Daphnia pulex: one gene and its partner. The protein of the gene in region 2 interacts with the protein of the main gene of each other region in a biochemical or structural test. Links are inferred from orthologs where the notes say so. Each region holds a gene or a part of one and is shown on either strand. Other genes may lie near its edges.

Region 1 (3,485 bases), on a different chromosome or scaffold from region 2:
CTGTGATTCATCTCTGTTCGGCTTACTGAGATAGGCAGTATCAGATGTCGATTTTGCTTCTTCGTCGTTGCGCAGGCTCTTGTCCAATGCTATAAGGCGAGTAGTCAGTTTCTTGAGAGTTTTCTCTGCAACAGGCGTGCTGTCCCATGCAAAGGCAAAAACACGGAACTCTGGAGGAAGCGACATGAGTATCTTTGCCATTATTTGATTATCATCAATAGCTATGTTGAGGCTCTTCAGACGGAATGCTATCTGTTCCAACTCAGTCAGGAAGCTTGATACACTTTGGCTTGGTCGAAATGTGCATCCATAGAACTTTGTCCACAATAGAGGTGCATTGTCTGCGGCATCTTCTTCATACTCAGTCTCCAATTTCATCCACATCTCTTGGGCTGTGCTACAAGACATCAGGATCCTTGATTGGTCTTCTTTGATGGCGCCAAATATGTTCTGCATTGCCGTGGTATTTCTCTTGTTCCAGTTGGTTATATCAGCTGCATTTTCAATCACCTGGTCAGCATTGCGTCTCTGATTGTGGTAACAAAACGAGAAGATGGTTAGGTTTGTGATATCCATGGCAGCCTCACATTATCTCAATGTGGAATCTCCCTCACATCATCTCGATGTGGAATACCTCTCACATTATCTCAATGTGGAATCTCCCTCACATCATCTCGATGTGGAATACCTCTCACATTATCTCAATGTGGAATCTCCCTCACATCATCTCGATGTGGAAAAACACTCAGCTGTCTCCTAGATGCTTGCAACTCTAGCACACACTTGTCCACCATCATATGATGGAATTTAGCCAGAGTGACCAAACAGATTGAGAAAGAAACACAAAAAAAGAGAAATGTCCAGCAAACACAAACACACAAAAAACAAAATCAAGTGGCAGAGATTAAGCACTCACGCCGGGATCTAAGTTTGTCAATTTAATAGTTGGTACCACGCCACAGATAGGCATCTCATATCGCGTTGTTGTCAGGCACGGATCACACACATAAAGAAAACAATAAATCATCAATAAACTTACTTCAGCAGGTTGCCGTTGAGTCCCGTTCACGACTTCCCAAAGCTCAACACTTTGTAACGCCAGCTTCATTCCAAATTTCCAAGACGCGTAGTTTTTCCCATTCAGACACCATACAACATGGCGGCGGCCATCTTTCTCCATCACTCCAGAAAAGAATTTCTAATTTCTTGGGAACAGTTAGCCGGGGACACACACAAAAAAAATAATTGTTCAGACAGAGTAGCTGTTAGCTGTGCGTACAGCTGGGCCCATAACCTGTTGATATAGAAATTAACACGTGAACCTGTTTGCTGCAAAGAACGCTTTGTATTGCTACTCGCCTAGCCACAATCGTCAACAGCACTGAGTCCCCCTCTCTTATTCCTTTGTCTGGGTAGGTCCTTCTCCCCCTCTCTTCTTTCCTGGCTATCCTGCGTTGCCGCACTGTCCAGTTTGTTTATCTTTTATACTCAACAAGCAGTTCCTAGATGGCGCTAACGACTGGCCCTTTTGCTTTTTCCCGTATCTTTTAAAACAAAAATAGATTTATCTCGTTAATGGTTTGTGATCAGTATAGGAAATTTATAAAATTTATAAGTTAATTTTTTTAATGGTTAATATAATTTTCTTACCGACATAAGAATCGTACTCTAGTTGAAGTACTCCATGGCGATACTACGCGAAAGAAACTGCCAACGTAGCATACAGGACTACCGGTTGTCAAGTAAGAACAACTCATCAACATCTCGAACGGAACATTTTCATTCACCCGTCTGTACAACGGTTCATCTTATTTCTCTTAGCTCTTGTGTTGTGGTGTATTGCATATTGTATAAAGAAATGGATAACCATGTCCTGGTAATATAGCTACTTCTAGTACTACATTTTCTTTAATCAGCTGTGTCAGACCAACAACAAAATGATACATTTTTATAAAATTTCTTTAGGAACCTTCTCTGTATGTAATTAAAGGAATTGCAATCCTTGACAATGATGGTAAACGTATTCTTGCAAAGTACTATGACCCAAACACATTACCCACTGCAAAAGAACAGAAGGTTTTTGAAAAAAACCTATTCAACAAAACACACCGAGCTAACACGGAAATCATTATGCTAGAAAACATGACTTGTGTCTACAAAAGCAATGTGGATCTTTATTTTTATGTCATGGGAAGTAGCCATGAAAATGAGGTAAAAGATGCTCACAAGTTGTTCACAAAATATTAGTAAATTGGAATTTTTTTCCCCTTATTTAGTTGATCTTGGTTAGTGTTTTAAACTGCTTGTATGATTCCATCAGCCAAATACTTAGAAAGAATGTGGAAAAGCGTTCTCTAATGGAAAATCTTGATGTGGTTATGCTTGCTTTGGATGAAATATGTGATTCTGGGTATGGTTTCCATTCAAACATGTAATCATGACAAGTTTATCAAGATACTATTACCAGTTTACTATTGTGTTGCAGGATTATTCTGGAATCAGATCCCACTGCTATATCATACAGAGTAGCTCTTCGGAATGATGACATTCCAATTGGGGAGCAGACAGTGGCCCAGGTATGTTTGATAACTTAACTACTTAATCAGATATTTAAATAAGGTTTTTTTCAATTTAATTAAATTTAAAATTGAAATTAGTTTGAAATTTTCATTTTCCAGCAGCTACTTCTAAACTAAACAATATACATTTTAAAAATTACTATAATTAAGGGAGAAGATCAATAAATTCTTTAATTATTTCCGTCTGATTTTTTAGGTGCTTCAATCGGCAAAGGAGCAGCTAAAATGGTCTCTTCTGAAATAAGGATCTAAACTATTTCAACCACAATAAATTCCGGTCGTTGAATCATCCTTATCATTATTTTTCTCCTTTTCCAAGTTGTTCTATAAAAAAAATACAAATCTGTTCTGTTGATGCCATCTTTATCAAAATAGCAGATAAATAATTAAAATCAATCCACCGTATTAGAAATTAAATTTTTTGTAACTTGTAACACGCATTATATAACCTGATGGTGTGCTTGGTATTTTACAGCGATCTTTAAAAGATTGTTTTCATTCATCAAAGAATAGTTTGCCTTTTTCTGACATTTACTTCGGGTTTACAAACGAATGAAAGCACAAAAGAAATTTGTTTCTATCACAACAGAGATGTGAATTTCCAATATTTTTCAGGTTGCACTGTAATTTAGGTGAAATGTTCTTGGTTTTAATTCGGATAGAACGTTATTCTCTTACAGTACAGCTTAAGTACAGCATTACACCAACTAAAGTTTGCCAGTTCATTTCGAAGTTATTGATAACGTCAATCTTTCGTCGATTAAAAGGTAAAAAAAAAAAAAAAAAAAAAAACGTTTCACTCGTCGTGTCTTTATAACGATATTGAATTCCAGGCTTGGACAGAGCGCATCAGTTTTTCGCTCCGTTGATCTATCAGCGATAAGCGGTGATTTAATCGACCCAATT
Region 2 (3,019 bases):
CGTCAATTTCGAAAAGCGGATGAAGTTCCAGTTATTTTGCCTTGATATAAACTAACGTGTTTAAAAGCCTGTTTTCCCTTTATTTTGATTTTAATTCAAGTGTAATACATATCTACAATACAAATTCAAAACGAAATGAGACTTTTTGCACAACATTTTCTTCGCGTCCTTACGCCTTTAAGATTGGATACAAGGAATGATTTCCTTCAGGAAAAAACACCTTGTTATACGTATGTGCGAACGGGGCAATTTAACTCTATTGGTAGTATATTTACATCTTGAATCGCAATTCTTCAAAAGAGAAAGGGCAAATCTTTTCATTTCTAAAAATCTTTACCTCTTAAGAAATCTTAGATAGTGCGCATTAATGCCAATTCTAATGTAATAAAATAAGACAAGACAATATTACTGGAGAATTTTGTTTTCCAAACAGAAGAAAAAAAAAAGAAAAAATACCAACCCAGATGTTTTACTTCATATCCAGCACACGTGCATTATGCATAATAACTCAAGTAGTAGACCGTCCAAAGACGGAAGAGTTAGAAATGATCAAAGATTGGCATTGATTAACACACAAACAAAAAACCAAAAAACTGGAGCAAGTATTCCATTTTAACACAACCACTGACATCAGGACGATTTCATTTGTTCGAACAGCGATGGACTTCCTGTTCGGTTTCGCTGGTATTTTTATTGTCAAATATTCACTGAAATAGCTTTATTCAATCAACTTTTTGGCTTTGAAAAAGCGACGCAGATATAACACCTGCCATGTAGCCAAGGCAATCAAACATAACATACTGAAAACACTGAAATACAATACTCTGGAATTGGTTGATTCTATGAATGAAATAAAAAAGGTGTTACTTATACACTTGTGGGAGATTCAAACAAAAAGTCTTACCATTTGTATCTCTCATCTCTTCCTCTCGTTGTCTCATGTAGGCAAAATCTTGAACAATGGCTTCTGACAAGTCTTCTAACCTTTTCAATTCAACTTCAAGTGGTTTTAATCTTGCAGCTTCCCCCAACTAAAAATACATTACAACCAATTCTATTAATTAGTTTTTCTTGCAATATTTCCAAAAACTTACTGTTTCATAGTTTTTAGCTTCAAGACCCATTTTGACAGTTACTTCAACCTCATGCTTCTGTCCTCTAAGATCTATAAGAAGAAATGTCATTTATGGCAAAAATATATTTAAAAGATGAATGCTTACTTGGCGGGACTTTTGACACAAAGCAAATTTCATAAACTTCATAGTCATCAGTTGTAAATGCAAATTTCCCTTTGCTTTTGTCCTCGTGGCTTACTAAGGTGTGACCTTTGATATCTGTTACCTGTTGTTTTTTTTTAGAACAAAAAAATAACATACAAATTAAAAATTAGTTTCTTTCCCATTTCTTGCTTTCTTTTTAAATTTTAACTTACTTTCACATCGGTTCTCTGGCCAGGAACCTCAGAAACTTCGTACTCCCCCGTGACAAGAACATCCTTTTGCACTTCTTCTCTTAAGCATTTTCTGCCATTTGGCTGTAGTTCAAACATAAGTCCTTGGACAGTTGAGAAGAGCAAAAAGGAAAACAAAATTATAGCCCGTAGATCCATCGCAAACACGAGAAAAACAATAAAACAGATCTATTTAACAGTAACCCCGATGCTACAGCAGAAGGAAAACAACACGGAAAGCTCGAAAGACACGTCAGCTCTGAAAATGACCGGTAAGACTTTTATGATGACTTGGCAACTTTGCTGACACCTGAAAAAAAATAAATTCACCGTTGCCAAATGTAAACATTTTACGCGCGCTTTTTTAAACAAGGCAATTTTATGTATTTTAGAGTGAGGCTGTCTGGGCGCACCAGAGATGGGCTGCACATACACATATTACATGATTAGAAATAACGAAACGAACGATTGATAAATTCTATTGTATTTCACTGAATAATTGGATAACAATCACATTAGAATACACAACTGCGTTTTATTTTAAAACGAATCGTCTAGTTGAGGAATCGCACGGACTACTTACTCAGTCTTATTCTTTCCAAGCCATATCCTTTACGTCCGTTATTAATTCCACTATTCTTTGGCTGAGAAGTGGATTTCCAATTACTGTATCAAATTCAAACAGACTTTGCCAACCGCTTTTGGTTCCTTCTTCATCCAACTCTTTTGCTTGATCTAAATCAATTAAAATTATTAATTACGTATTGATTAATGACTATAATTATAAGTACAAAACAAACCTTTTTCCAATTCCTTAATGAGATCTTTATGAAGATTTTCATCGTTTTTTAAGGTATGATCTATTGCTTTGGAGGAGTCGAGTAGGATGGGTAAAATGAAGAGGGCAATCATCATCATCAGAATATAGCGTTGCTTGGTTTCTTGAATGAATTGTTTCTGACTATAACCTTCACTTTCCAGGTCAATGTCTAGTTTGACTAGAGCACTGGAAAGGGCAGCATAATATTCGTCAAGCAGATTATCTAAATGTTGTTTTCGGAACGACGATGATGTACTGGAAAAAATGAAGTATCCAAGATCATGAGAGGGATGTCCGCAACGCGCAATTTGCCAGTCTATAAGCAACATTTCTTCCGGTTTTTCGCTAGTTTCGTCGAGATAACGAAAGAGAAGATTGTTATTCCATGAATCGCCGTGTAAAAGACAAGTCAAAGCGCCACTCTCTAAAAATGATTCCCAATTCCATATTTTATCCAGTTCAGGCAACAGTCCCTCAAGCCAATCCGCAACCTTAATTATAATTTTTATTAACACCAGAAACGAAACTTTGTGCATTTCTGTTACTTAATAAAACTTACCTCTTCCTGACGAAAATGGCGCAAGACCTTTATGTAGTTCGGCAATACTATAGTACGATAAACAGTTGCTGGACTTATGTAATTAGGATCCTTCCGGAAAATTTCATACGGCGAAGGAAAATTAGATGGCCCATCGCTTTTCACGAGTCTACGCATCTTTGCAATACTCAAGGCATGATAATTAGCGTAC

The links. The genes of interacting proteins can lie anywhere in the genome.
Region 1: the proteins of transmembrane emp24 domain-containing protein bai-like (region 2) and coatomer subunit zeta-1-like form a complex in vitro, tested with the Homo sapiens proteins (2 studies listed by BioGRID, with this or other methods). The link is inferred for Daphnia pulex from reciprocal best matches to the Homo sapiens genes TMED10 and COPZ1.

Annotation. Positions count from the first base shown.
Region 1 is NC_060024.1:1,294,697-1,298,181, reverse strand, and holds coatomer subunit zeta-1-like, read left to right. Parts: upstream 1-1,494; 5' UTR 1,495-1,684; coding exon 1,685-1,876; intron 1,877-1,965; coding exon 1,966-2,211; intron 2,212-2,276; coding exon 2,277-2,410; intron 2,411-2,485; coding exon 2,486-2,576; intron 2,577-2,775; coding exon 2,776-2,823; 3' UTR 2,824-2,932; downstream 2,933-3,485. UniProt on the Homo sapiens protein: The coatomer is a cytosolic protein complex that binds to dilysine motifs and reversibly associates with Golgi non-clathrin-coated vesicles, which further mediate biosynthetic protein transport from the ER, via the Golgi up to the trans Golgi network.
Region 2 is NC_060020.1:5,852,676-5,855,694, forward strand, and holds transmembrane emp24 domain-containing protein bai-like, read right to left. Parts: upstream 1,738-3,019; 5' UTR 1,610-1,737; coding exon 1,433-1,609; intron 1,342-1,432; coding exon 1,221-1,341; intron 1,166-1,220; coding exon 1,095-1,165; intron 1,032-1,094; coding exon 905-1,031; intron 841-904; coding exon 719-840; 3' UTR 645-718; downstream 1-644. Other genes in the region: exocyst complex component 2-like, read left to right, coding at 1-55; uncharacterized protein LOC124192751, read right to left, coding at 2,040-2,185, 2,251-2,761, 2,830-3,019. UniProt on the Homo sapiens protein: Cargo receptor involved in protein vesicular trafficking and quality control in the endoplasmic reticulum (ER) and Golgi.